Linked DNA regions of Alligator mississippiensis. The protein of the gene in region 2 binds, or shares a complex with, the protein of the main gene of each other region. Links are inferred from orthologs where the notes say so. Each region holds a gene or a part of one and is shown on either strand. Other genes may lie near its edges.

Region 1 (7,261 bases), on a different chromosome or scaffold from region 2:
AATTAAAACAGAATTCCTTCCAAGTGAGGAGCGCTGCACTCTCCCCTCCAAAGCCATCTGCAGACATTCTGCGGAATGGCAAGGACAGACTCCAAAGTCCAAGCTCACAGGAGACACTGGGCAGAACAATTTGCCCCAAATTCCAACAGGGAGAGTAAAACAAGCATGAAATGAAAGCAGCAAGGATAGAATCTTGCCTGGAATCAACTGAGCTGAAACACATGTGATTACAAAGAAGGCTAAGGGGTGAGAGCTGAGTTCAGCAGAGCAAAGCCCCCCCCAGATTCCCTAGGAGGCTTAAATTCTATTTGAATCTAGGAATCAAGATTCATCCTTGGGCAACTGGCCAACCATACCAACAAATTGGTGCCAACTGGCCAATCTGTGAAGAAGAGAGCCTAACTCCATCACAGAGACACATGACAGTGTCTAGTCACCCAGAGCACACTGCAGAGGGAGGTCACACTGCACAACAGACCTAAACCTGTGGCACCCAAGTGATAGTAAAGTGGCACAAGCTGGTGCCTTGTCTGTAAGGGGTCAATGGCCTAATTCAGTGAGTTGAAGAGGAGCAAAGGGGTAGAACTCCACAGAAATGCTACTTCCAGGAGAAAAACCAATGTGCAATTTCATAATCATTTCCACATTAAGCCCGAGGTTGGGTTTGCATAAGCAAAAAGAGCGAGGCTAAAGTTGACCTCTCAACTTTTAACTCTGGAAGCCTGATTGTATAACCGTCACTTTGCATTAATATGGTTTTGTGCACAGAGTATAAACTGCATGCAATCTTCCCAACTTCTTACATCAACATTCATAAATACTGACACCTCCTCTTTCCCCAAGTCACAACATTAGTGTAGAAGGAATGAGCTTTAAAAGGTAATCAATGCCCCCTTTCTCATCAACTTTCTGCTTTTTCAGAAAATAGTGCTTTCCTGCTTTTTGCTTTCTTGGTTGGGCAGGTCTTGAGTTCCCTAGACCTTCTGTGCTGGCAGTGTTCCCAGCTGGCCAGAGGAGTTCTGTAGTTCCATAGTTCCACACTGGCCTCCAGTTTCAGCCTATGGAGGTTAATCAGGCATAAACCATGACTGGTTTCCTCTGGCCATAACCAATGGGATGACAGACAAAATTGCCTGGGGCATCTAGGCACAAGAACCAGCATGGGATGCGGTGCATCATCATCACATATAACAATACAATTTTTCTCCAACTACAAAGAAACTAGAAACTTTACTAATATCCTAGGGGCCAAGGGTTATACTATTGAGTTTAAGATTGAAACAAAAACAAATGCAACTTTATTGGAATGTGCAGTCAGTTGCTATATTAAGTATAAAAAGGGCAACAAACTAGGAAAGACTTTTGTCCTGTAATCATTAGGATGCTATGTACATTTCTCATTCAGAGTAATAAAATAAAATCTAGCCTTGAGCGTCTTGACAGTTCATCCAACACTTCACTGACAGTTATTTTAATGTGCGAGTTTATGTACAACATGGCCAGTCCATTAAGACGCTCTTCATCCACTGCTGAACGAAGCCAAGTTTTAATTCTGTGGAGAGTAGAGAAACATCTTTTCGCTGGAGCTGCGGATACAGGAAGCGTGCACAGAATCCTGAGTAAAATATGAATGTTTGGAAACCATCCCTTGTCGCAGTCTGTCAGACTATCAATGGCTGTGCTTGGCACTTCTTTTTCCTCCTTGCCCTGCCACTTGAGTTTCCACAATTGAAATTCCTCCAAAACCATATTCCTGCTATCTGGCAAGTCTTCACCATACATTTCTAAAACACGGCTAAGCTTTTCAGATGGATACCGACATGAAACGAGAGGTATTAGAATGCCAAGATCCGTTACAGTGTTGCTGTGCAATGTAAATCTCCTCGCCAGTTCTTGAATCATGAAGTCCAAAAATGGGATATAAGTGTTAATTCGAAAGTAGTCCTCAACACTGTCACATGAAACATTGCATCTGTTTTGCTGCCGGGCTGCAAGTTGAGGCAATTTTACCTCAATGTCATGTTTAATTGCAAGTGACTGGGCAATATTAAATATTTCTGCAAATTCAGCATTAGAGTTAGATCTCTTACCTTCTAAAACCTCAACTGCCAATTTCACTTGGTCAAAACATTCCACAATGTCAGCATTTACCCTCTGAAGTTCCTTGGACAGTGGAAGAGTGATTCCTAAGAGGAATTCAGCAACTGTCAAATTGATAATAAATTCAAAATCACATACGCTTTTGTAGTAGAAATTTGCTTTATTTCTGACAGCTTTGTCACCATCCGTCTGCATTGCTTCCAGTGCTGCAATAATAGCATCGTAGAGCTCAGCGAACACCATGATACTGTCATGTCGCTCCACCCATCTAGTAACACAGGCACTTTGCAAGCGTTTGTGCCTGCTCTTTGGGCACGTGGCATTTATAGCATCTGACAGGTACTTCATCCGTTTGGCCGACTCCTCAAAATATCCAATAGCTTCATTCAGAATGCCTAAGGTAGTTTCTATTCCACGTATTGTGCAAGATTTTGCTATGGTAAGATTCAAAGCATGAGATGCACAATGGCTGTACGCAGCTTTGGGAAAGTCAGATTTTATGTGAGCCTGTATACTGTTTACGTGGCCAGCCACTTTGGTGGCTCCATCATAACCCTGCCCCCTCAATTTTGTCAAATCTAGACTACATTCCCTCAAGAAATCCAAAAGGGCCTTTGCTAAACCGGCACCAGTCAGGTTATAAACAGGTAAAAAGCCTAGGAAAACTTCACAAACTGTAACTGGATCTTCTTTGACATATCGCACACAGACAGACATTTGTTCCACATTTGAAATGACTGTGGTTTCATCATCTAGGAATACCGCAAAGAAACCCGACTCATTTATTTCATGTACCAGCTTGCTTCTGACGATGATATTGCTTGCTTCTATAATTTCCCTTTGAATGGTTTCACTACTGTATATTGCATTTTGGGGCTCATTTAGTAAGTGTTCGTGTAAGGTTATGTCACCAGCTTGACAATGGAGACGCAGAAGTGATTGGAAAATGCTTTCAGATTTACTCTCACCGTTCTTACCCAATTCACCGTTATCCTTCCCTCCAAGTGGCAGACCGTTTTTACCTGCAAACACCACAGTCTCAATGATAGGCGCAAGTTTCTTTCGGTTTTCTTCTACCTGGGCACATCTTTCTTCATCCAGCGTGTGTATGAGAATTTTATAGGTTTTTTCATAACATTCGCTGAATATTTGTGCTTCCAAACAGGCTGCTCCGTGAAACTTTTTTGTAGTGTGATTTTTTAATTTTGTCGTAACTTTTTGCCAATTCTTGCATGGCTGAGAAACCAGCGTAGACAGTTTCTGGCCTCCTACCTGTATTGGGGCAAACAGCACACAAACACGACAAAAGACGCCCGCGCATTTCTCGCTATAAGATACGAACGGATAATTTATCAGCCACGAGTAATTAAATTTTCGCGACGTGTTCTCCGAGTCTTTATACACCGGGAACTCATAGCTCGGATGAGGGGTCCACGGCTGGGTAAGCAGTTTATACTTAATTTCATCGCTTATCGAATGCCTACAGTCTACGTAGTTCCCAATGTCGTAGTCGTGGGGAGTTTCGGGATCGGGCAGGGCTTCCTTTTGATCCAGCGCCAACGGCTGAGCTTGATGCGCCGCAGCAGACTCGGGATCCAGCGGTTCCCACGCGTCGGGCTCGCTTTTCACCGTCGCGACGCACCGCTTCGTACAGAACGGATTCGCGGCCGTCTCGTCTTCTTTCCATCTCTTCTCCATGTCGGCCCGGACCACGAGGCGCCCCACGCAGAGCGGGGACCTGGAACAGCACAGGAGGGAAAGACAGCGGCACCCGTTGGCCCAGCAGGGCGATGTTTCGGAGGCCTCGCTGTGCAGCCCGACAACCGGCACAGCACCGCGCCCCCGAGCCGGCGGGGCGGGGCGGGGAGAACGGAACGGAGCCGCCCGCACCCCAGAGCCCGAGCCCGGCCCTCGGCTCTCCAGCAGGGCCAGTGGGGTTCTTCCTTCAGCCCGTCGCGCGGGGCTGCCCTCGGCGCGCCTGCCCCCCCCAAAAAACCCAAAACAAACCTAATTGTTAAGGCCCAGCAAACCCATCCTCCTCGCCACAGCGCTTTCTACTCTCGGAGGTTAATGAAGGCGGTGGCTTCGCAACGTGGGGCGGAGTCGAAGGCGACAGGCAGCGCGGAGGGCAGCCGGGAGGGGGCCTTCCTCTGCGAGGGCGCGCGGCGGCCGGGCTGGAGCGCGGCGGCGGCACCATGGAGGAGCTGGATGTGGAGCCGGCGCTCACTGTATGGAGGCGGCGGGGCGGGTGGGGCGGAGGGCACCGGCCTGGCCTGGCCTGGCCTGACCTGACCGCCCCGTTCTTCCCTGACAGGTGGTGCCGGGGGTGGCGCCGGGCCGCGGGCTGCACTTCCAGTGGGGGCCCGGAGAAATGCTGGTGTGCGAGGCCGCCTTCCCCGGCGCAGGTGGGTTAGCACCCCCCCCCCCTCCGTCTTATTCAGCAACATAAGGGTTACCATCCTCCCCCCCTATTTTATGCTGAACATAAATAAAGAAAGAAATAAGGGTTAAGGTTTTGTTTTAACAGGAGCTGAGATTTTCAGGGCGTCTCTGACTCCCCGAGTTGAGGCCGTTAAGGAAGGAAACTGCACCTTCACGTGGCAGAAGCAGCAGCACAAACGGGGCAGGAGCAGGGGGAGAGTTCAGCGCCAGCAGCGCTGATCAGCCGTAGGCGTTCAGGTGTAGGAACGCAGGGACTCGGACACTGATCACAGGGGAACCGACTTGGAGTTGTCTCCAGCAGAATATTTATCGCATCCAGTCGGTCTGCACCTCTCGCGCTGTTTTTGTTACTGGCTCATTTCTTAATCCTCATGTGTCGCTTAAAAACAGTTAAACCCTGGGTTTTAACTTGTGAAGCCTAGAAGCGTGCTTCTGCCCTGCAGAGTGGTAACGCTCGTGTTGTTTTATGAACTGATGGCTTTCCATGATTTGTTTCAGGACACGGGGAGAAAGGGCCTGGCTGCCCCTATATTTATGTCCTTCGCAAGGATCAGGACATATACTTACATACCTTACGTAAACTTTTCAATGAATCCCATGGCATCTTTGTGGGGCTCCAGAGGAGTGAGGAAGAACTGTCTGGGAAATCAAGGAAGGCACAGTGAGTGGATGGAAATGCTTGATAAGTTTGACATAAAAAGGACAATTCAGCTTTCTTGCCGCCCCCCCCCAAGAATATCCTCTTATTGAGGCAAAATTCAGGTAGCATGTTTGCACGTCCCCTTTCGTTGTTAAAGTGTCTCCGAGTCACTGAAGTGATCAGACATAAATACCTACTTGCCTCTTGTTGACTGAACGTAGTAATGAATGTATTTTGGTTTTGTTATTCCTCTTTATTATTGCCTAGTCTCCTTTACTGCTGATGAATGTTGCCGCCTCCCTGGCCAAGGGGGTAGGAGATCAATCCCCTTAGGACTGGTGCACATGGCTGTCTTGTTAGGAAGGGAGGTGGTACATTAATAATTATGCTGTACAAAAAAGGCCTAACGTATTGCTCCTGTTTGTACATCAAACACAAGTCCGTTTGCAGTGAAGCCAATAACAAAACTTCTGAGTTTCAAGTTCTCAGAGCTGCTGCTGATCAGTAATTTTACGTAACTAATCTTTTCAATATATATTTTATAAAGTTAGGTTCTGCGCCTGCAGATTATTTTGTGCAGACAGAACCTATATGGACTCCCCTTGCTTCATTTAGATTCTCCAGTGCAGGAGGTGAATTTCTGGCTGAGCAGAGAAAATTTGAAGGGTCTTGATCCTAATGTCCAGTAGCCATATGGCCAATAATACATCTCTCTCTAAACAAGGCCTCTTTATTCTTGCTAGGTTGGTTGGAGTAAGTAAAAACTACCGGTCAGTCATCAGAGCCTGCATGGAGGACATGCATCAGGTGGCTAGTAAGTTGTTTTTCTCCATTAACAACAAACAGACTAGGTTTGAGTCCATACATTGAATCTTATTGCAACTCTTTATTATAAATGACCGTAAAATAAGCTGTTCTGATTGTCAGTGGGGGTTCTGCTCTTCTCCCTAAATTCCATGCTGATTTTTGAACAGAGGCTGAGACATCGTTGCATTACTTTTTAATTGAACTTGCAAGATTACTCTTGTGGTTACGTCTTTTTAATCTTATCCACTCTATTTCTCTACTCTTCAATTCCTTTCTTAAATTTTTCAGTTCCTTGGCAAACCTGATCATTTTCTATTTTTTTACCTTGCTTCTGGTTTTGCTGATTTTTCTTCACACAAGATACTTTGCAACCTAGCACCCCAACTCTAACCTAGCTGCGTCAAGGGTCATTCTTGCTGTCCCTTTTAGAATGCTGGACTTCTGAATCACCTGTCATTTCATGAATGAAAAAGGTGGTTTCTTTATTATGATCTGTTCTGAACCCTTAGGGTTAGAAACAGGTTTTCCCGCAGAGCAGACAACAATATAGCACCATTATAATAGTGGAATGCCCCTACTCTCTGTGACTGATTGCAGCAGTATGATGATACTTGTTGCCAGTCATGTTTTTTTCTTGCACATAGCATCACTCATGGTCATTTATTTTTCTGTGCTACTCTGCTTCATGAGCCTTTAAGCACTGTGTGACATGTCTAAAATACAGTTTAAAAGGTCTGGACAAATGTTTGGACTACTTCTATTTATTTTTTTCTTCCTCAGTTTCAACTCGGGATCCTGCCCTGCACAACCAGTATAGCACTCAGGTAAACAGTCCTTATATTTTTGAAACCTGGTCACAACTGAAAGTAAACTCTTGCCAGAAAATATACGAAGGCTAGCATACTGTGGCAGTGATATGTTCTGAATCTGGGTTGTTTTAGTCATTTGGCTCTGTGTACCCGCAGCTGTACATGGCCAGATACACAAGCTGTAGGAGCCATTTATTTATATGTATTTATACAGTTATGAAAAGTTGCCCCTTTGAATTGTGGCTCCCCCACTATTACCTCAGTATATGTCCAGTTTTGCAGGTGAGAGGCAATCTTACCATTTTATAAAATCTGTGAGCCAATATCTCACTTCACCCTTCAAATACCACATCCAAAATAAGCAGATGCGTCTCCTAGCAATCCCTGAAAATTAGACCGTGAACTTGCAGCAATAATAGACCAATCTTCCAGGAAGAGCAAAAAGTATTAGATGTAGATGCAT
Region 2 (8,004 bases):
GGGACTGATCCCAGACGGTCCCAGCCAAGGGCTCACTGAATCAGCAGTGCTCCTCTCTGTCCCTATTCAGTCATGCTTGCTCTTCCCCAACCAACACAGACCCCAATTTTGACATCCAGCCTCCCTGCCTCTCTTGGCATCCGCTCTTAGGGAGTCTCCTGTTGATAAATGATCCCAAACCTTGGTGCTGACTGCCGTGGTCAGGCTATGAAGGCTACGGCAGGGCTTGATGAGAAATGAGGGGGTCTGACTGGATACTTTTGTCTTTCTGTCTGTATAGAAGTAGCTATGGTAAGACTAGGGAGGAGAAACCGGAGAACCCTGAGAGCCCCTAAGGCACAGGCCTCTTGTGGGTGTTATAGCAATTGATTGCAAATTAGGAAATGCATGGTGGTGGGTATTGGGGAGCTTGTAATCTTAATGTGTTGTGAAGGATTGCTCATTGGAAGTGAAGCACTGGCTTTAATCAATGCCACCCATCAAGCTAGCTGTCCCCATGAAACAGAGAAACTCTCCAAACCACGTGTTTCAGGATGCATTGGCTCTGGGATTGAGCTGGGCTAGATCCTTGGATGTTTAGGAGCCTGGAGAGGCCTTTCCTGCTGGCTGAATCAAGGTGCAAACCCATAAGTTTCTAGATCTGCTAAAATGTCTGGCTGAAATTGGAGCATAATAGAAGCTTAAAACCTGCAGGACAGGGGAAGTCCTCCCCACATTAAGGCAAACTAAAGTCTCAGTGACTTCCACCTATATTAAGCCTGCTGAATGTGTAGGATTAAGCTTGGAGTGTGCTCTGCAAGCTGCTGGCAGGAATACACCACTGCTCTTTCTTCATACAGAAACTACAAAAGGAGCTACTTGACATGTCAAGGCATTTCTGGGTGGCTATAAGCTGAAGCTCATGCCAGAAGTGAGATAATGGGAAGAGTTGCCCCCAGATAGCAATTTTGCTGGCTGCTGACTGAAGGATGTAGACACGAATGTTGAATCTGTGAAGAAGCCGCAGAGCCAAACAAGTTTCTTGGTGGGCCCCTCTTTGCCCGGGGTGGATGCACTCGTGTGAGCCTGATGTCTCTGGAGACGATTCTACTAAGTCAACTGTTGGTTGCAAAAGGTGTTGCTGCTTCTGTCTATTGAGTTTTTAAAGGTAGACTTCCTAATATATTGGGTTTTCTAGGAGGCTCCTTGTAATGTGAATAAGCAGCTGGCCTCTGAAGTTTGGTCGTTTCCCTCGCTGCCAGTGGCCAGTTAGTTCAGTTCCATAACATCAAATCTAAATTGGCTGTTCTCTCTCACCTGAAATCTCAAGGGGCGGTGGGAAAACCAGCCCAGCTAGTCTTGCTTTGGACATTCACAGAAAACGCTGGGGATGTCCTACAGCTGCAGGAGAAAGTGAGATCAGAGGAGTCCAGTCTGAGCCCCTCGAATCCATCCAGCCTTGCTGTGGGGGAGTTTACTTTCTTTATACAGGTGGCCTCTGAACTTCTGGGATCCTACAAACAAATGCTTTTGTTTAAATGTATTACAATGGGACCATTCTCATGAGTGAAATTCAGCACATTGGAAAGGTTGTCTTGGCAGAGCTGGGACCTTTCGAGGGCAGGGAAGGACTCGTCTGATGCCAGTGTAGCTGGGACCATGCTCTGATCATTCGGGACACTGATGCGATCATTGCTTTCTATGTAAACTCTTGGAATCTGGTTGTTTGCTGCTGGGGTTTAACTGCTTACTCTGTTTCTTCTTTTATGTTCTTGGCAGCTTTTAACTTTTGTGGTTTTTAAATCCTTGTATAAATAAAAAGTCCAAATAATTGTAACTTGACTAGACATCTTGCTCCTTCCAAGGGCTGTATTTTTTTTTATGTCTTGCTATCATCTTTGTATGAAAACTTTGGAATTGTGACAGGGGGAGAGACTGCAGATGGGGGTGGCACAACTCTGCTTGTCCAGGTGGAAAAATAAACCTTCTGAAACAACTTGAAGCTTCGGCATGTCCTGTTCTTGTTTGAACCAGGGTAAAACCGAGTTCTAACCCCCACCATGTACTGACAGGAGGGTTTTGCCTACCTTCTGCCAACTCATTTTGGACCCATGCTTGTGTCCTGGGTTACAAACAGGAGGTGGAAATCCTAAATCAAAGCACATCTGTCTGAAACGCTTCTGTTACCACTACTTGTTTTCCACTGCAGGAGCAAGAAGACGTCTCGTTAGGTATGACCCCTGCCTCTACCCTGCCCCTAAGGAATAAGGGCAAAAGAAAAGTCCTTCCAGCCTAATGCAAATCACCAAAGCAGGGCCCAGGAGATGTGGGGCAGGTTTCTCAGCTGCACAGCTGCCCTTGTGCCCCAGCATGGGCAGGAGAAACAAGTAAAAGACATCTGCTACAGCCTTTCTAAAGAGCGTGTGTACTCCCCTGGGGCCAGCACTCACTTCAAGTCTTGGAGAATTAGAACCAGGAGGGCAACTGATTTACCAGTGGGAGATTTTTGTCCCCCTTGCTTCAGGTAGTTTATTGAATGTAATTTGGACATCCCGGCACTATTGTAACAAGGACTTTTATCCCTGAGCTAGAGTGAAACTAGCTTAGCTGGTACTAGCAGGTCTTTTGTACTGTCTGGACTACCTGCTATGGACTGAAATGACTGCACACTTATGCTGTGTTACAGCTGCCTCCAAATCCTCTAGTGCAAGCAGGTGGACCGAGTGAAGAGAATTTCCCCCACTGTAAAGCCTCCTTTGGATAAAGCAATTGGCTGCAAATCACACTGGGCTCTGCTTTGAGCAATTAGTTTTCTGCATCCTGAGCCCAAGGTGGTCAGAGACTTAACTCTGTGGCCGTTTACGCTGCAAGCCTAAGGGTAAGAGGCCGTCACGCCGCTAAGGTCAGCGCTAATGCAATTGTATTTGCTTACAGCAGGGGTGACGTCGGCCTCAGGTGTGGAAAAAGGCAAGTAGGATCTAACAGCTGGTGTCCTGGGGCAAGGCTGGCTAATGAGATTGCACAGGCAGCGCTGCTGCGTTTGCCCTTCACATGCTCTTGCGTGTGCTTCTCTGCTCCATTTAAACACTACAGCACATCGCAGCAGAGCATTGGCTGACTTCAAAGGGCTACAATAAAACCACAGCAGGCTACAAATGATGCCTGGTGCCAATGATGGGAATGCCTTGGGCCAGGGGAGCATAAATTGGACTGAAATAATTCAGCTAAAAACAGCATGTCGGTAGTGGCTGACAGGGCTAGATCACCGGCCTTCTCAGTAGTAGCAGTGGGGACAGGTACACAGCCCTGCCAAGCCCCTATTGCACCATTAAAAGGGTAGTGTCCTCCCTTCTATTTGTGCTGGGAGCTGGAAGTGGGTGGCTGGGGCACTGTCCCCTGAACGGGCACAGCCAGGTCCTGGAGAGCTGCTGGGTACGTAACAGGACTCCAGGAGCTGGCGCCTTAAGATTATCCCCAGCGCAATCATTCTGAAACTTTGACCATTGCTCCTGTCCCTGTTTTGGCTTTGAGTTGTACTGAATAATCAGTGCCATGCCCCTAGTGGCCCCCATCACCAAGCGGGGCTCATAGCTCTACGTGTTGAGCTTTGGCCCATGTTCCCAAATGGTACATCAAAAGGCCTGTGTCACACGCAGGGCCCCCAGGGACTGCGGGGTCGTTTCCCTGTCCCTCCTCCATTCACGTCTCACCAGGCAGTGTCCGCCAGCTCCTTGAACACGTTCGAAAGCCAGCAGGCAATATCCGCTGTGCTGTGCTCGGCGTCCCGTCTTGGCACACTCTTTTCGGACCTTTGACCATTGTTCTCATCCCTGTTTTACCTTTCTTTTGTCCCAAGAAATTAGTTGTTACTTTCTCAGCAGCCTCCTGTCCTAAGGAAGTCTTCTTGTTCTTGGTGGGGAAGAGCCCACGATCCCTTGGAAGTAACAAATAAGCCTGTTTCACGCGGTGGCAAAGAACAAATGCTGAAAGGAAGCAGGAACTGAGTCTGGCCAGGAGTTTTTCCCTATTGTCCCTCTCTCTCTTGCAGCCTTCAGCATTTCAGTGCTTAGGAAGCTCCTTCAGAGGCCGCGGCCCACACTCCCAGGCTCAACAGCGGCTCTCCAAGAACGGGTCCAGGCCCTTGGCTGAATCTGGCTGGACGGTCAGCTCCCTGCGCTAGTGACCCTCTGGGTGCAAAACAACGTCCTGACGTTCATTTTACACTGACCACCTGCTTGTTTCATGCTCTGGGCTGGTGGGAGAGACTCGGCGCTCAATGCTGGCTGACTTCCTCTCCGCCATCTGGGGTGGCGTGCATCCCTCTTGTCCCCCCCCTCCCCAAACAAGTGTTTCTCTTCCCAACCGATGAGGCCGGGCTTTCGCCTCTCTCTGCGTGGGAGCCCCTAATCCCCCTGGTTGCCCTTGTGTGGCCATCTCTAGTTCCTCTCTGTCCTACGGGGGCAACCGGGCACGGCAGCCCAGGGCTGGGGGCACCAGGGGCTTGTCAACGGGGCTCATAAGCAGGGATCCTGGTTTTCTCGGATTTAAAAAAATCCCCAATTTTCGGTTTAAAAAGAAAGAACCCCAAATCCACATTTTTCTGTGATTAAACCGAAACACCGTGTGTGTGTGTCTCTATATCTATAGATAAATCTATCTAGATCTATATAGATAGGTATACAGATAGATTTGTAGCTATAGATACATCGATCCGTATCTATAGATAGATTAATAGATAGGTATAGTGGTGTTTCATTTTAATCATGGGAAAATGTGCATTTGGGGTTACATTTTTTTAAACCGAAAATTGGGGGGGGTTTAATCCGAGAAAACCAGCACCCATGCTCGCAAAATTTATGGGTAGGCCCCGCCCCTACCCTGAAGCCCCGCCCCTTCTTGCAGCCCTCTCCCCTCCCCACCCCGTTCTCTAGTCCTCCCGCCCTCAGCTACCATCGAGCGGCGCGGCTAGAGCGGCCTCCGGCTGGGCCGGAAGCGGAAGTAGCCGGACAGTGTCAGTGGAGTGCGTAGCGCGCGGCGGCGGCGGTGGCGGCGGCGGCGGCGGCTCGGCCGGGCCTGGTCACCATGGGCGACGACATGGACGTGATCCCTGAGCGCGACATGAAGGTGGGGGAGGGGGCAGAGCCTCGAGGGGCCCTCTGGGGTGCGCGGCGCTGCACAGCCTGAGCCCCAGGAGTCTGCGGTGGGGGAGGGGCAGGTGGGGGGTGCTGGGGGAGGATCAAGGCCCCCCTCGGGGGTGCTGGGGGGATTAAAGCCCCCCTTGGGGGTGGTGGCTGCTGCAGGTGTAAAGGGGAAGGTGGCTCCCTCCGGCAGCACGGCACCAGCGGCTCGTGGCCACATCGCCCTGTTCAGATTGGTCCCAATGGTGCTGAGGGGGAGGGGGTTATCTTCCTCTGTAGCAGGGGGCTAAACATTTCGTATCAGATGCCTGCCTCAAATTGTTCGAATAAGACGGCAGGCCAGGGCGGCGAACGTGGAAGTGTTAAATGTTGCTGGTCTGTCATTCGTGAGAACGTTGACAAGTAAGACACGACTCGGGTGGCTTGGTCATGTCAAGAGAATACCGGATCGCAGGATCCTGACGACCGTGCTGTACTCTGAAGCTCGCGCAGGGTCTAGAGAGAGGCGGCAGGCGCTGCACGGGTTTCGCGATGCTTGCAAAGGAGACTCGGCATCTTTTGGCACCTCCGTGGCTGATTGGGAAGGCAGTGCGGAGTGCTGCTCTGGTTGGCGGACTCAGCTTGCAGATGAGCGAGGCGCTGCGGGGTTGACCAGATCAAGTTTTGCGACGACCAGCGTCAGAGGAGGAAAGAATCTGCTCGGATTCAGAGCATCGCTAGCGCGTGGGTGGCGTGCCCTGTCTGTGGGCCCTGTCACGTGCGTTGGATTCAGCAGCCATCAGAGAACTCATCAGCGCGTACGCCATGCTCTGTAAAGAGCAATGGTGCTAATTGAGTGATTGTAGCAGGGGTTGTGGCCTCCACCCCAGATCCCTTGGGCATATATTGGCAACCTTTCATAGAAGTGGGACATTGGCTGCCTTGGTTTCCCTGCTTTATCAGTGCCAGGTTTGGGTGCTAGGTCTGTGTTGGCTCAGGATTGATGGTCTTACGTAGAGTTTGGGTGATGGATGATAGAGGATGGTTTGGATAGGGGTTGGGCCTGCCTCAGGTAGAGGTTGGACTGGATGAGCTCTGGAGGACCCGCCCAGCCGGACTCCTCTGTGGTTCTATGACATTTCCAAGCCCCCCCCCAAGCCAGGTGATATGGCCCCCTGTGTGGGACATGACCCAGGGTTTGGCCCCCAGCCCCACATACCCTGGGTTCAGCCCCCAGACTAGGGATGAAAGGTTGGGTACAGCTGCTGCAGAGAAAAAGCCTTGTTTCACCTGAACAACCCTCAAGAGGGATTTTGGCACCAAGCAGAAAGGCCTGTCTTGAGCTCTGGTCGTGCAATTTCATAAGAAAGGAGTTTTGCCTCCTTTCCATCGCTTATTTCCTGTGTGAAGTGTGCGGCCCTTATCCTTGTAGGTGATTCCTGGGAAAGTCCAGTCTTTCCATGCCCGTTGGAACCTCTGGAGCAGATCGTTACAAAGGGTTTGGCCTTGGCTCTCTTGGAAATTCAAGCATTTTGTGGTGGTTGACCTATTTGCGATGTATTCCGGTGGTTCTTCATTTGAGAAAGTGAGGAACAGCACTTCTGTTGGCATAAAATGAAAATGGTCAAAGGTCAGGCTGAGAGCGCCTTTACAAAGGATGTTAAAGAACAGAAGATTAATTTTAACTTCCTAAAAATAGGAACAAGGGAGGAATGGGAGCTGCTTTACAGTAAGGCTGGGGTAGAAATTAAAGGTAACCTAGATGTGGCCTAATACTTAAATGAGTATTTCAGTATTCGTGTAAGATGTTGGTACAGAGCCTATTATGTTCCTGTTGTATTATGTGGGTCAGAGACTTTGGGTTTTAATAAAGAGGGATTTCTGCAGGCTGTAGCAATAAATAAAGGTATGTATTGGGAGCTTGAGATCAGACTGAGTGAGTGCTAAGGAGCATGTTAAATCAGCAGAGTTGAAGACATGGGTAGAAAGACAAGAGCTGGTGTAGTTGAAGCAAACAGGAGAGAATGCAGGAGGACAGGATACTTCATGGCATGATGAAGGTGCATACTGAGGGCAAGAGGCAAAGGGAAAGACTGGAAAAACCTGGAAGGGCATTTTGACTAGATGGTGTCAGGGAAGAAAGTATGTATATAAGATAGCAGGCAGCGGAGAAGAAGTGGAAGGAGATATATTACCAGACCCAGGGCAAATTTCATGCACTCAACGGAAATTTGTGTGTATTTTGTCCTTATACAATGGGAGCGCATCTTTTGGAGATGATGGAGGAGGAGGAGGAGTGTCTGCATATACTAGTAAGTTGTAGGCTGACTGAGGCTTCTTCAGTGTGATGCAGCCATGAAAAAGGCAGCACAGTCCTAGGAACTATCAGGAGGATTTCCAATAGGAGGAAGTACTGGCATTAATGCCGTAGCACAAAGCCCTGGTACCTCATTGGAAATATTGTGTGGTTTTTCTGGTTGTTCAGATTAAAGAAACCAAGGTTTCAAACTTGGACAGATGCAGAGGAGAGCTACTAGGTTGACTGGAGAATAGGGAGTCTGTGTTGAGAGGAGACAAAAAAAAAAAGCTTGGTTTGTTCAGCTTAGTGAAGCAAAGGCTGAGTAGGAAATGATCACTTTTTTTAAATACATCCAGGGAGGGGAAAAGAGCTGTTTAAGCTAAAGGGCAGCATTGGCATGAAATCAAATGGGTATAAACTAGTTGTGATTATATTTAGTTTAGAAATTAGGCTTGTGACCATTGGAACAGTTAGCTTCTGGAACAGCCATCCTGTAGGTGTGGTGGGGGAAATATTTCTAAAAAAAAAAATTTAAGATGAAGCCAGGTGTATTTATGGAAGGGATGCTATGATGCAGTTGCTCGAATAGCAGGGGGCTGGATTCAGTGA
Region 3 (7,580 bases), on a different chromosome or scaffold from region 2:
CCCAAAGATCCCAATTCAACTGCAGGACAAAAATAAGCCCTGAACCAACTCTGAAACACTGACATGGTCACCCAGGCCTTCTTGTTAGACTTCCAAATGACTGGCAGACTGCTTTTAAGATACCCTTTGAGAGCCCTGGAGTTTTCTGAGTGGTATACAAGCAATGGTTTCAATTTAAAATCCGCTGTAGCATTACCATCAAGCAATAAAGTAAGTCGATCCTTGGACACCCTGAAACCTGGAATCAACTTCTCCTCTCTGGAAATGTAGGTCCTAGAAGGCATCCTCTCCCAGAAGAGGCCTGTCTCATCAGAATTGAAGACTTGTTGAGGCATATAAACCCCCTCCTCAATAATTTGCACAAGCTTATTTCTACAGCTGGAAGCTGCTTGGGTGTCAGCACTAACAGCCTCCCCCTGAATAGAACCATTATGCAAGTTGCTGTGCCTCTTAAATCTTTCGGATCACCCCTTACTTGCATAAAAAGGCTCAGAAGCAGACCCCTTGGGCAAATTTTTCTGTAAATTATCATGCAGACTCTTAGCCTTCTTCTGAATAAGCAGCATACTCAAGGGCATATGGCGTTGAGTCGTATCCTCAATCCACACACTTAACAGCTTCTCCATTTCTAACATAATTGGAGCCCTACGCATACTGGGTTTCAAAGCATTCAAAGGAGTTACAAATCTATCACATTCTTTTATTTTGTCTTAAATTTTCAACAGCTGACCCAGACAAATTCAACGCTCTACAGACCTCATTCTGGCATTTCCCTGCTTCAATTTGCTTCAGGACATCCAATTTAAGCTCCAGCATTATGCATTTGCACTGTTTTTTCTCAGCACTTGCATTCTCAGAGTCAGCTGCACGTCTCTGACTCATGGCACAACTCAAAAAACAAAGCAAGATGGTGACACAAGCACAAAAGAGCAAGAAAGAGCACAGAGCACAAAAGTTTTTGACAAAGCAAGATGGCAACGAGGCTGTGCACCGCTGACACTCCCTGCCCGATACATGAGTATTATAGCAAAACCCATGAACGCTAAGTGAAACCGGGCATCAAAGTGAAATGAGCACTATAGCGAAATAGCGTTAAAGAGAGGTTGCCTGTATACTTTAACTTTAATTACTAATACACCCTCACTGCACAACAGCCCCACATTTTCCATCATGATTTTCTTTTTAATTATGTGGCTGAAGAACCTTTTCCTATTGGTTGGAATTTCCTTTACAAGCTCTAACTCAGTAACTCAGTGTGACTTCTAGAACTTCTCACTTTATTGCTATATCTCCTAACCTCTAAGACTGACATCACTTAAGTAGCAAAACCAAGTACAAAGAACATTCATGCAGCATTTCCAGTCTTCCATACTACCCCATACAGTTTACATACCGTATGTATGTATGTATGTATGTACATTGTTCTATAGAATAGAGACCTGACATAAAGGAGACTAAACAATTCTCATTCTCTCAACAGAACTCAATTGAGACAAATTTCTGACATCTGATGTTCTCTCACTTACATATAAACCAGGAGTGGCAGTCACAGAGGGGATGAATTACTACATATTAGCAACAAACAAATTTAAAGCTTCAGGCAAGAGCTGCTGCATCCAGCTCTGTGGTCTGTGTCAAGGCAATTTTAACTTCTTAGCAACCGAGGCCTGCACAAACAGGGGCCACATACTGAGGGAGCTGCAAGCTCACCCCACACCATGTGAGTAGGCAGCTCTTTTCACCACTACTTTACTGCACATGTGGGCTGCCTCTCCCCACTGATCCACGTGCTCATCTATTTGGCCACGGGCTCCCTTGGCACTTCAGCCTGCATTGCACTTAGCCATGCTGTTCTTTTCCCATCTCTGAGGCAGGGGCAGGAGGTAGAAGCCAAAGAAGGGAGGGAGCCTGAAGACCCTGGCTCTTGCTGCTGCTGTCCAAAGACCAGCGTAGTAGTGGCCAAGGGGAGTCCATGAGCAGCAGATTAACTTCTTGTAGACTGCACACGGCCCATGAGCCACCAGTTGGATAACCCTCCTCTGTGCCGCTCAAGACTACATCGGGGTTATCAAGCATACCCCCAGGGGTACTTGAAAAGGGGCCAGGAGGTACGCATGGGTGAGCAGGAGTGGAGCACCGCCACACACCACCCCGCACCACCACCTCCCAGGAGCAGGGCCAGGGGTGGGGGTAGTGGCTCCCTTCTGCAGGCCACACAGGCACTGCCCAGACAGACAGATGGATGCAGTGGGGAGGAACTCACACATGGCAGCTGCCACCACCATCCACCACCCACACGGTGTGTAGCCCCCCCCATATCCAGCCACCACCAGCCAGAAGTGTACCTAGAAGGAGTACACTCCTTAAAGAAGGTTGAAAACCTCTGGACTAGATCACATGTGCCTATGCCATGGCTTGCAAGCCACAAAAGATTCCTGGAGAATGTAATGTGAATCCTCAAGAAAAAGAAGCAGCTAAATAAAAACCTTTTCTTTTTCTTCTGTGTCTGTTTATTACATCCTACATGTGATTTGCTTCAAAAAAAAGATAACGATGCATTATTACAGAGCTGGGCGGCAAGCCAGTCATCGACTCCAGACAGTCAGCATAAAAAACGTTGATGTGCCTGCCTGCAGCGCTCGGCTACGGCTAGAAAGGCTGGGAAGTTTGGTCCTGCCTGGACTGGATAACAGCATCGCCCGACAGCTTCACGGAGCCAACACACCACGCACCCGGCACTTAGCTATCTGGACGTTTGGTCACGCCGCCTACAGGCCCCGCTCTCCTGCCGCCGCCGCCAGGAGCCCACGCGGCCCCGCTCCGCGCGCACGAAACGGGAGGGGGGGGGGCAGCACGCGCGGGGCAGGGGCCACACACGCCGCCACTCCGCACCTCGGCTTTTTTTTTTTTTTTTTACCTGAATTTACCGCCAACGGCGCCGCCATCTTGGAAACCGACTCCCGCGACCCGCCGCAGAGAGGCCCAGAAATAGCGCGGGGCGTCCGTCGGAGTGCCTGATTAAAAAGCCCCACCTTTTGCCCCCAGTGCAGGGTGTAAAAGCGGGACGCAGTTGCCCTCATACACTACTGTGCCACTCGCAGAGAAATTTACAACACTCTTCGTTACTCAGCATCCCGAGACGCTTTCAGACAGGCAGGGGTGCCCTCGAATTCTTGGGCTCCTCAGGGCCCGAGCGCGGGAGATGCTGGGAGTTGTAGTTCATGCCTGGACTGCAGAGATGCCTAAACCCACGGGCTAGAATCCCCACGTGCCACCGGGCGCCTCAACCGAGGGTAGGCTGAAAGGGTGAACGGGAAGCTGGTTCCCTGCGGGAGCCCAGGCACTACCCATTGGGCCACGTGTTTTAGCGGTCCCGCTCCCAGAGTGGCTTGATCCGTGTGACAATGAGGCACCATGGACACATCAGTCAGCATCATTAATCACATCTCCTATTCTGGCCATTGACAACGGTAGTTATGCATTTCCAAAAACCACTGGAATAGAAACCAGACATTAAAAACAAAAACTGCTGCAAATAAATTGATTTTGTGGCTTATTGAGTCACATGTTTTGGTAAAAGATGTGATTGTAATTTGTAACTGCTCGTAGGGGTGCAGGTTGTAGCTGCGTTGGTCTAAGGACATAGACAGACACATTCTTTGGGTAAATCCGGTATCTTTTATTAGAGTTTTATTAGATAAATATATTGGATTTACCCAAAGCACCTTGTCTGCCTGTGGAATTGCTTGCGTGCTTTTTTGGTGGTGGCATGTTTTTCAGGTCAATGCTTTCTTTGCATTAACGTGCCTCAAACTTGTTAATAAAATGCTTTTTCAGGTGATAAAGAACTAACAAAATTAAACACAGGTATAAATGTCTACAGGATCAGGGCCACAGGTAGAACATTTTTTTTCTGTATTTTATCAGTCTCATATATTTAAAATAACATATCAATTTATTCCTGTTAACTTTAATTCCCTCCCTCCCTTTTTCCAGATCTTAATGATAAACATGTCTGTTTTTATGCCTCCCTCCTAGAGAAAATTTGTGAAAGGTTTTTCCATAAGGGTGTGTGCATTCATGTCACTAGCACCTAAAGTTAGTTGAAAACATTGGGGGGGGGGGAGGGTCATTGTAAAAGCATAAATCGTTTTTTGTCAGTTTTCAAAACCCAAAAGATTTCAATCTGTATAGTTTCTCATTGAAAAACTGGAAAATTTTAATAGACAACAAATTTCAAAACATTTTGATGAAAAATGGCCTTTCAGTTTTCTAAAATACAAATTAAATTCAAATGTAAATTAATTTTGTTTTTGAAAAAAACCAATGTTTTGAACCATCTCTACTAGCAAGTGTACTGGATTAGGAATCCATGTCTTGTGTCCTTTTTATGATAAACTTGGGTTTACACTCCAGTATACAACAAAGGCTTGCCTCAACTTGGGGCAAAGAACACTGAAATTGTGGAAAAATAATTTCTCAAAAGAAAGTTGAAAGAACTGTTAGGAGTGAAGAAGAAAGGACAAAACAGCCATTTGGTTATACAGCTAGAGCTACAGAATAAGCATTAATACCTGACAAGACTCCCTTGTCTGCAAGTAGCATGCTGGCCTCATGCTTTTAAATAATCTCTTTCTTAAGGCCCCACTAGCCATTCTAATAATTGCAGATTTGCTTTGGCAATTTCCATCTTGTGTTACCATAGAGATAGAAGATGACACTAAAAGATGTTTTCATTTGAGTGGCCAGTAGTTTTCACACTGAACTTTATTAAAATTATTACTTCTCTGGCTACAAAACAACGTTCAATAAACTACATTCATGGGAAAGAGACAGCAGATAGACTCAAGAAGAAAAGAGGCAGAGATAATGGGATGGGAAAGGAAATAAAAAAGGCTACGCAGAGAAAATAGGGACCCTAGAATAAAGATCAACAGCCCACAGCATGCATGCCGGATCAGGCCCACCAAGTAAACAGATTTGGTCTGCGAATCCTGGACACATCTGCAGCGATTCGGCAGTGGGAGGATGTCTGCCGCAATTGTTGGGGAGGTCAGCTCTGCAGCAGGGACCAGTATTGCTGGCCGGGGGAAGCCACCACAGCATTGTGGTGATGGAAGAAGCGGAGGCAGTGGCAGCAGCCAGGTGCATTAAAGCAGCCTGCTCTGCTGCTCCAAAAGATTGCTGATGCCTGCTCTGGAAGATGGCTGAATAGGGAAAGACAACTAAGGAAAAAAGACCAAAACCAAAATAAAACCCCAGAAAGACAAAATACAATAGCCAATGTAGAAGAAGAGATGTACAGAAAGGAAATGGGGGGTGGGGGAGGGACATCCTAGCAGAACATTTCCTCTTATAGGGTTTAGAGGATGTACATTTGAGAAATGGAATCTTCTTTTTTGTTGCCCACTCCTCTTGTTGAACTAATTTGTCCTTCCAAATCTCCAAATCTTTTTCCAAATCTTTTCTGAATCAATTTGGCAGCTCTGAATCAATTCAGAGGGTTTTTTTGGTCTTCCAATTCTATTTGGATTCGGTGATTTGGCCTCTGAATTGGGCCAAATCTTCTCCAACTCGAATCAGCGACCAAAACTTCACACACCCTTAGTAGGCAACCCCCGGCACATGTGCCAGAGTGTGGCACATGAAAGCATTTTGCTTGGCATGCACACCTCAGGGTTGACAGTAGGGAAGGGCCCGGGGCTGTGCTGCCACAACAAAGATCAGGGCCCTCATGGCTTCCCTGCTGTCTGTCCCTGGAATTCCAACATCTTACAGACAAGGTTGTGGGTGTTTTGGGCATGCTGTTCAAAAACGCATCTGACCCCTGATCTAGCAAATGAATGCACATGCCAATAAAGTTGAATTTGGTTTTGCTTTGATCTTAAACTGAATAATGTATCTCTGGGCTCCTAGCATATTAGCAAATCTTCTAATTTCTCTTTAACTGGAGAAAAATATTGATGCACCACACCATCTGCGCCCCTCTTTTCAAAATCAGAGATCTACTCATGTATGAAACCTGTGGTGGCACAGTAGGGGGCACTACTACTCAGAGCCACCTGCCTCACTGTGCCAGGCCCAAAAACCTCACTTGGGAGTCTCCCACAGGGTGCCTACAGCCAGCTGTCCCACTTCCTGGAGAACACCCGCAACTCTGGGGTAACGCTGCCACCACCCAGGTACTGGTTTCTGTTAGAGCTCTGTGGAGCCCAGGGCACACAGATCCTGTGAACCGTGTGGTTGCTTTGCCCACAGGTAATATTTCTGGGTGCCTGTTTTGGCCCAAAGCATCCCAAGATAACCTCAGGTAGGACTGAGGGAACATAAACAGACAACCTCCACTGGCTAAGCTGAAAGCAAAAAGGTCTGCCTCTCTCCCCTTCATTGTACCATAGCAAAGCACACTGTAACCTGTTACCTTCATTGATCAGGGCGGGAGCAGGGGTAGAACAAGGAAGTCAGAATACACTTTGAGTAAACATAAGCAATCAGAGTCTTATACAGCCTTGGACATAATAATCCTTTTAAAACATGCCTAGCCAAGACATAAATCCTAACTCCTGGCTAGTTTCTAAGTCTTTACTTACAGAAAATCATCCAGGCAGCAGCCTGGAGGTATATTGTCTGTTGCTTTCAAAAATGCCTGGCACCAGGAAGGGAGCATACCCCACTCCCCTCAGGAATTTATCCAGCCAGGTCACCTGGTTGACCAGCCTGAACAAAAACGAAAGCGAGAGAGAGAGGGGGGGGGGGGGGGGTCCACCTAGAATAACCAAAGTGATGAAGAAAGAAAGGAGGATTTCTTCACGGACTCATCCCAGGATAGTTCTGTTCTGGTACAAAAAACAGGTCTAACTAGTCCTAGGATAACATCTGCTCCTAGCTCAAGATAGCTATTTTAATATTATAAAAGCCTAAGTCTGTCCGACTGCCTGTCTGTCTGTCCATAACACTTTATTTACGCTTTGATTGGCTGACAAACAGCCAATCAGAGCACAAAGAAGTGTTTTGACAGAAGGCAGCCTGCCGCCATGATAGTGGGGATATAGGAGACGGCCTTGCTCCCCCTCCACCCTGCTCCCTGGAGGCAGCAGCAACAGAACGGGCCCGACACAGAGGGGAGGAGCAGAAGCACCATGGCATCAGCGGTGGCAGTGGGGCCAGGGGAGGACTGGGCCTGGGCCTCACGCGGGGCGGTAGGGAGCAAGCTCAAGTCGGGGGAAAAGCCAGCCCACCACAGCAGTGTGGGGGGGAACAGCAGGCCCGGCCCGGCCCAGCCCAGCCCAGCCCAACATGGCAGCTGCAGGGGAAGGGGAGAACGAGCCTCCTCTCCCCGTCGGACCCGGGTCCACTCCTCCCCCAGCCTCACTCCCCCGCATCTGCCCCAAGCCCACTCCTCCCATCGCCCTGCTGCTGTCAGGTTGGCCTGGGCCCGCTGCTCCATTGCCTCCCTCCACCGCCACGGCCTGGCTTCTCCCCACCCTTGGGCCCAGTCCTCCCCACATCGGGCCTGGACCCCAGGCAGCAGGAGGAAAGGGGGAGTGGGCCCAGATGGGGGGGATGGACCTGGGGCTCTG
Region 4 (7,470 bases), about 1.5 Mb from region 2:
AGCCTGACTTGCTGCCAATCAAGATACACTTAGGATGGAAGTGTCTTATTTTGACTAAATTACCCTGGAGTTACTCCAGAATGAGGCAGACTAGAAACATCTTTTTCTCCTCTGGTTGAAAATTACTACTTCCTCTCAAATAGTAGAGCAGTAGCAAAATACCTGAACATAATTCCTTCACAAGTAATCAGAAGAACCAAGAAATGCAAAGAAAAGCAACACTAACTAAAAGCAAACTATTTACTTTGAGAATGCAATCTACAAAAAATATCACTATAAAGTTCAAATCCCTAAGTGTCTTTTAATACAGCAATGCTACATAATTGATTTCCAGTGTTACGGTTTCTAATGCACTCATTGGTGTAGTTTCTAGCTGCCGATTCCTTTCTAGTTAGATATACTTCATTCTATAAAAGCAGAAGAACCTGTCCTATTCCAATTAGCGATAAAATGTGTGTCACCCCTCTGTCCCGTGCAGAGCACCAAGACTACAGAATTCTCCCAAGGAGATACTCCCTCTGTAATGCATAACAGCAATATGGCTGAATCAATTCCACCCCATTTTCATTTCATTCAGAACTTTTCCAGGATTAAAATGGGGCTTCAACTCCTTCCAATTCACTTAAAGATGCTTCTTGGGAAAGATGCTATTGGGAAAGGAAATTTCTCTTATGAAGCATTTATAATGCACAATAGTGCTCCTATCCCAGGTGGTGCCTTGGGCATGATTATCCATGTAATTAATTAATATATTGAAAAAATAGTTGCTTAAAGTCAAAGAGTTTTGACATGTTACAAGCAAGATCAAAAGAACAGTAAAGATATCCAAAGGCTTAAAGTGTATATCAGCTCCTCAAATATCAATTTCATCATGAGACTACACATTTGACTTGAAAATCTGATCTCTGTCTTCAAGGTTTATGGCTCACTTCTGGAGATTAAAGCTCTAAGAACAGACTTTAATGTGCAGTGCACAGAATGTAATTTTTTTGCAACAGAACCAGAAAAGTTCTCTATAACGTGTTCTCAGTGTTCTACAGAACAATGGACTATTTGGTCCCGTTCTGGTGGTGTGTAAACTGAGATTTCCATTTGGCAGCAAAACTGTTTAAAAAGTTGCTCTATTTTTGTTAGCACATATTCTCCACTTAAGATTCTAAATGGACAAAAACACTAATATATCTAATTCACTGCTGGTCCCTGTGCCTCCTCTCACTGCTAAAAATAAATAAAATAAAATAAATTACTTTTTCAAGCATTTCAAATGCAAGGCTGCGAACAGAGGCAAGTTTACAGCCTGGGTACCCATTTGCATCATTCACAGATTCACCGAAGTTTAGGGTTGTAAGGGACCTCATGATGAGATCATTGGGTCCAGCTTCCCTGCTCTGGGCAGGAAAGCTTGCTCAGGTCAAATAACCCTGCAAAACATATGTCCACTCTTTCATTCAGGGATGAAAGAGTTTGTTCTTGTAGTCATCCTGCCCTGCTTTCTCTTGTAACCAGTTTACATCAAGTTTTGTGACTACTGTAGTACCATTAGGTTGCTCCCATTCACACCTCAATCAAGACCCTCTGGGCTAGGCTCTATTATATTCCACTCTCACACCCCAAGCAGCTGTGCAGCCCAACTCTCCTCAGCCCCAAGCCAAATAGAAGTCCTTACAAACAGAGCTGAAGTCTGAATGGTTTGATAAATTGCTGCTGTTTACCCACCCCAAAATGATTAACCACTCCTTTTACTGCTGGAGATGCACAATGAACCTCAGTGCGGCAGTTTTCAACCTTTTTTCATTTGCGGGCCCATATAAAATGTCAAAGGGAGGTGCGGACCGCTTGGACTTTTAAGTGCGTGTATTTGCCTGCTTTTGATCGATCATAATCATCTTTCACGGATCCCTTACATCAGGGGTGGGCAAAATGCAGCCCGCGGGCCAGATGCAGCCCACCAGGCCATTTATCCAGCCTGCAGAGCCCCCCAAAATTTAGAAAATTAATATTTATCTGCCCCAGGCTGCCTGTCATATGGCCCTCGATGGCTTTCCAAGACTCAGTAAGCAGCCCTCCACCGGAAATAATTGCCCGCCCCTGCTTTACACAGTCTGTGGACCCCCAGGGATCCAAACCCCACGTGGAAATGGATCTGATGTAGGCTGATGGAAACAGCTCCTGGGAGCCCAGGAAGTCCCCTCCGCACCCTCACTAGGAACAAGAACCGCTTTGATAAGGACCCATTTATTATGCTCCGGGGTCCGCACCAGGATCCAAGGGAGTTATACAAGACCTAGGAGCCCACAGGGCCTGCTTTCCCCCTGGCTCCCACGACGCCCTTGTTTTTTCAGGAGCTCCTCGAGGGAACGAGCTTCAGAAGTGGATTATGTCGAAGACCGCCAGACCCTGCGTTTCCCGGACTGCAGCGAAGGGGTGAATTGAGCCACCTCATGCAGGTGCACGCGGAGCGGAGCAGGGCAGGGCAGGGCAGGGCAGGGCAGGTGAATTGAGCCACCTCATGCAGATGCACGCGGAGCGGAGCAGGGCAGGGCAGGGCAGGGCAGGGCAGGGCATTTCCCCCCCGCCCGGCCTGCGGGCGCAGGCGGCACCGCAGCCCGGTGCGATGCAGCCACGGGGCCAGCCCCAGCCGGGCGGTGGAGAAAGTGAGTGGGTGCGTGGGAGACGCCTGGCAGCGGGGCACAGCGCCACCCCCTACCTCGTCGGAGCCCCCTGCTTGGGGGGACACCTAGCGCCCAGAGGTGATTTACCCGAGGGGTGGGGGGGGTCTCTGCTCCAGGAGAACAAGGAGGGTTTGGACGGGAACAGACAGCTAGAGGGGGTCCCTTGAACCCAGCCCGACCCCCCGGGAGGAGCCGTTGCCGGTGGGAGAGACTCCCGCCACCGCCGCGCGCGCTCCTACCTCGCGCACAGCCCGCCGGCCGCCATCTTCGCGCCCCTCTCACGTGACCCGTTACCCGCCGCTCGGGCCGGCACCTGCGTCACGTGACGGGGCCTCGCGCCCAGCCTGTCGCGGGGGTTCATCACGTGACGGACGCAGCCGGCAAGATGGCGCCGGCCTGTGAGGTGAGTGGCCTCGAGTCTGGTGCTGCGGGGAGGCGGCGCCATGGAGACGAAGCGGCTCGCGGGCGGGGGGCGGGTGTTCGCCTTTCCCCTCCCCAGTCCCTCCTCCGTCAGGGCTCTTTGCTGGCCGTGGCATTGCTGGTTGTCGCAGCGAAGAGGCGCCCCGCGGCCCTGCTTAGTCCCGGAGGCTGCTCCTTCGGGCGTCCTTGCCCCCGTCACCTGCCCCCTGGGTCGCCTCCGAAGTGGCTGCCAGGGCCACCGCTGTCCCCCAAAAACTCACTGGGGGAGTTAATGGAAGGAGGTAGAAGGAGCTCAGACAAACACTAAGCAGCGGAGATAAGGAAGAAATCCTGCCTTTTGTTTCAGTGGAGACGGGAGAGGAGCTGGAGAGCCGAGGTGCGGAGACAAAGCACGGCTGCTCGAGATGTCAGGAGCTGCAAAAGAGACGCCTAGACCAGCGGTGAGATTCAATGAGAAATAACGGCGGCCCGTGAGAGATGGAGTGAGCACAGAGGTGAGGCCACTGGGAGATGAGCTCGAGGAGACCCTGCCAACGAGAGGGCGATTTTGCAGCAGCTCAGAAAGTGAGCGGTGACCCTGGAAAGATAGGAGGGCAGGAATAGTGTGGCATCTTCTGTATGTGAGGAAGTGGAAGTATTGTGAGATGATGGAGCTTGGAGAGGTCGTGTTTGGTGAAACCTTTGCAATTCCCTTGTTCCTAAAACAAGGCAACGAAATCAGTGAATGATAAAGTCTTTTGTTATATAGTTATAGTATGCCCTAGATTGGAGTGGGCAATTCTTTGGGCCCGCGGGCCACATAGGTAGCTTTGGAGAGCTGCAGCTGCACCCTTCCCTCTCCCTACCCCCCCCCCCAAAAAAAACAACCCAACAGCCCGGAGCCCACACGCCCTTCAGCTCCTCCCTGCCACCGGCACCCAGCAGCAGCTGAGTTTACAGCCCTGGCCCCAGCTTGCCCCATACCCGCTCCGGATTCACCCCAGCTAGAGCGGACCAGCTCCAGACCAGGTGGGAAGTGTATGCAAACCCCCAACCACCACCTGCCCCACACCTGATCTGGACTGCCCAGCCACAATGAGCAGCAGTGGCAGCCATGCAGAAGCTGCTGCTGGGTGCAGGGGAAAAGCAGTCATATGTCACCCCACCTCCCTTTGCCACTGCCAGGCCTTTCTTGCTGCGACCGCTTGGAGTCCATGCCCTGTGGCTTCTCTCTGCTACTGTCACCACTGCCACCAGTATTGCCTCTGAGCAGCCCAGCAGGGCATTGGAGAGGAGCCGCAGGATAGCCCAGGTGCAGGCTCCAGGTGGCCAGCGAAAAAAGATGGGCACTTTTCCCCTGCACCCAGTGGTAGCTTCTGCACAGCCACCAACGCTGGCATCGCTGCTTAACATGGGCAGGCAGTCCGAAGCAGGCTGGGGTCAGGGCTGTGCATGTAGGTCCCAGCTGGTCTGGAGTTGGTCCACTCCAGCTTGGGTGAGTCTGCAGTGGGTGCAGGGCTGGCTGGGGTTGTGTGTGCAGGTCCCCACCAGACTCCATGGGGCTGAGGGCATCTGCTGCCACCTGGGCTGCCTAGAAATGGAGCCCAGCCACAGAACTGCCCCAGCCCTGCTGCGTGCCTGGGCATGGCAGGACATGCCACAGGCCAGATGGCACCTGGGCCAGGCAGGATTGAGGGACCTGCTGTGGGCTGGGCAAAGCCCCTCTGTGGGCCGTATTTCTTCCCCCCCACCCTAGGTTTCCAAATTACACTGTGTCTGGGTTGCACTTGAAGATGCTTATAAATCAGCATTTGACATCCAAGTGTATCCCTGTGGGGCTTTTTGAACAGACTTCTTGAAGTGAGGCTGCTAAGTGTCACTGTTGCATTGGAGCTGAGCTGGAACTTACAATCAGCCATATTCCTCTGTTGTATATCTCCTCCCTAGCTAGTATGTGAGGTACACTTTGCCCCTCTTGGAGAGGTCCTCACTCCTTATACAAATCTAGAAATGGCCTGCTCAAAGCTAGTATTGGGCAGAGGGGGGTAAAATTGGCACGGGTTTTTTTTTAACCTTTTTTGACTATATAAAACTTTTTTCCTGTATGACTTCAAAACTGATGAATGAGTTGTTGAACAGGGGGAAATACATGCATCTTGGCCTAGCTTTATAGCAGCAGCAAATATGAATTGATCGCTTAAAATAATTTTGTATTTCAAATCCTATGGGTATAGATATCAAAAGAACCCTAATGAAAATTAGAACTAAAATTATTACATTTGCAGTACAAAGTTTCCAGCCAATGAGAAAACTATCTAGACCCTAAACATCAATTATTTGAGTAACCTTTAAGAATGTTATTACAAGATATTTTTTCCTTAGCTTAAATAGAGTGAGGTACCACTGATAAAGTATGTAATATGTAAGAGGAAATAATAAATTCTGGAGAGGATGTGAAAGATTTTACCTCCTTACCAATGAAATTGTCAAGTTAAGGTAAGCTGTAGAAGACAGACTGGCAAGGACTTCTCTGTTTGATATCTTATTGGACCAACTACATGGTAGGGATAAGCTTAAAATGCATATTAAGATGACTGGGAGTTCACAGAATACTCTGGGATATTTATTTTGTTGCATCACAGATTATAGTTTTCCATCCAGATTTTAGATGTTCTTAATTTGTGTTGAATCTGTTGCTAACAGATTTGTGTTGACTCTTATTCAGTCAAAATGTCAGCATGGATCAAATTTTCAAGTTATTAGTTAATATTTCTAAAGCATGATTATTACTTAAGGGAGAGAAGACACTTGTATTAAAAGGCAGGAAAACTGTTTCCTTACAAAGAGACACTATAAATTTAATTCATACATAGGTTAGACTTTTATTTACTAAAATTAGGCTTACCATAATTAGAAATTTATCAGTGAGGAAGTTTATCTTTGGTGTGTTTACAGTGTTTGCTTTGTCAATACCCATTGCTGTTTGTTTCTTGCCTTTCACAAAATAAGAGGAGAGAGAAAAATATTTTTAAAAACAGGGAAATACAACTGTAAATTCACAAAAAATTGGAAGGAAGGAATTGGGAACAAAGGTAGGGCCCATAGAACATTTACATTTTTTAAATTGACTTTGCAGGCTGAATATCAATATCTGATTTACCTATTCTGGTTTATTTTATTTATGATTTGTGTTCATTTTACATACCAGTTAGTATGTGCTCTGTTTTTGTTGGTATATTTTAAACAACCAAATATTGCTGATGATTGGAATAGCATTATTCATCTCTATTAATACCAAAATCTTACCAATAATTATATCCATAATTGTTTAATTTGCATAGTTCACAATGTGTGTGTGTGTGCGCGCACACACGTGCATGTGTTTTAGGTTATATAATGTCATTTACATTTACAACAAACTTGTGACTTAAGGGGGATTTTTTTTGTATTTAAGTTATAAGTTACTGAAGTAGCTAAATGCATTTACCAGTGTAATTCTTTTGAGCATTGCTGCTTGTATTTGTGCACACTCCTTGCAGAATGCAGTGCTCACCTCCCTACTCTCAGTAGCGGAAAGAAAAATGTGACATACCAACTAGAGTTTTTAGTATTTGCATGTGAATAAAAGTGCTGTGAGATTTGGCACTAGAAATGGAAGCTGACTTGGACTTTTCTGATTCTTAGATGCCATGGAAAATGCCAGTTTATTTCCTTCTTGGTTTTATTTTTCTTGTACAGGAGTTGAAGCATGCAGCTGAGCTTAAGAAAATGGGTTGTTTTTGTAGAAGCTCTGAGTGTTCTTATAGTCTCTAATGTTGTTGTTTTGTTTATGTTTATAGGAATTGCAGTAGGATGAAAGTGAACTTCTACGAACGGACCAAAGACCGTATTGAAAACATTGGGATCAGACAATTATAACGATTTTAACATCACGGGACACAGCTGATTGGAACCATGTTACTCAAGCCAGTGCTTGTAGAATCTCTGGTTGTTTTCACCATTGTGCTGTGTGTGCACATGGTGGTGTGGGATCGGTATTCCTGGTGCGCTATTGCTCTTGCCATTCAGGCTTTTTATGTCCAGTTTAAATGGGACCGTCTCCTCCAGTTGGGTGGAGCAGTTTTCCAGTTCCGGACAACGGCTAATAGCGGCCTTCTACCAGCTAGCATGGTCATTCCACTGTTGGGGATTGTGATGAAAGAGAGATGCAAGATGTCTGGCATTGTGTATTTTGAACGTTTTGGCATAGTTGTGGCCTCCACTGGCATGGTGATAGCCCTCTTCTTATCTGTAATAGCAGTTGGCATCACAAAACCTGTGCCAACTAATACTTGCATACTTTCTGGTGTTGCTGGAAGCTTAATCATCTACACCATGAAACATTCTTTGACTGTTTCTG

Evidence for each region.
Region 1: NUP214 (region 2) and NUP85 share a complex: the UniProt entries of both Homo sapiens proteins name them as parts of the nuclear pore complex. The link is inferred for Alligator mississippiensis from reciprocal best matches to the Homo sapiens genes NUP214 and NUP85.
Region 3: NUP214 (region 2) and NUP205 share a complex: the UniProt entries of both Homo sapiens proteins name them as parts of the nuclear pore complex. The link is inferred for Alligator mississippiensis from reciprocal best matches to the Homo sapiens genes NUP214 and NUP205.
Region 4: NUP214 (region 2) and NUP188 share a complex: the UniProt entries of both Homo sapiens proteins name them as parts of the nuclear pore complex. The link is inferred for Alligator mississippiensis from reciprocal best matches to the Homo sapiens genes NUP214 and NUP188.

What each region holds. Positions count from the first base shown.
Region 1 is NC_081831.1:12,344,198-12,351,458, forward strand, and holds the start of NUP85 (nuclear pore complex protein Nup85), read left to right. Parts: upstream 1-4,245; 5' UTR 4,246-4,295; coding exon 4,296-4,328; intron 4,329-4,414; coding exon 4,415-4,505; intron 4,506-5,040; coding exon 5,041-5,203; intron 5,204-5,925; coding exon 5,926-5,996; intron 5,997-6,769; coding exon 6,770-6,813; intron 6,814-7,261. Other genes in the region: 52 kDa repressor of the inhibitor of the protein kinase, read right to left, coding at 1,402-3,798. UniProt on the Homo sapiens protein: Essential component of the nuclear pore complex (NPC) that seems to be required for NPC assembly and maintenance. As part of the NPC Nup107-160 subcomplex plays a role in RNA export and in tethering NUP96/Nup98 and NUP153 to the nucleus.
Region 2 is NC_081835.1:59,555,348-59,563,351, forward strand, and holds the start of NUP214 (nuclear pore complex protein Nup214), read left to right. Parts: upstream 1-4,995; 5' UTR 4,996-5,061; coding exon 5,062-5,103; intron 5,104-8,004. UniProt on the Homo sapiens protein: Part of the nuclear pore complex. Has a critical role in nucleocytoplasmic transport.
Region 3 is NC_081827.1:91,530,697-91,538,276, reverse strand, and holds the start of NUP205 (nuclear pore complex protein Nup205), read right to left. Parts: upstream 3,004-7,580; 5' UTR 2,946-3,003; coding exon 2,918-2,945; intron 1-2,917. UniProt on the Homo sapiens protein: Plays a role in the nuclear pore complex (NPC) assembly and/or maintenance. May anchor NUP62 and other nucleoporins, but not NUP153 and TPR, to the NPC.
Region 4 is NC_081835.1:58,084,481-58,091,950, reverse strand, and holds the start of NUP188 (nucleoporin NUP188), read right to left. Parts: upstream 3,008-7,470; 5' UTR 2,938-3,007; coding exon 2,912-2,937; intron 1-2,911. Other genes in the region: DOLK (dolichol kinase), read left to right, coding at 7,026-7,470. UniProt on the Homo sapiens protein: Component of the nuclear pore complex (NPC), a complex required for the trafficking across the nuclear envelope. Required for proper protein transport into the nucleus.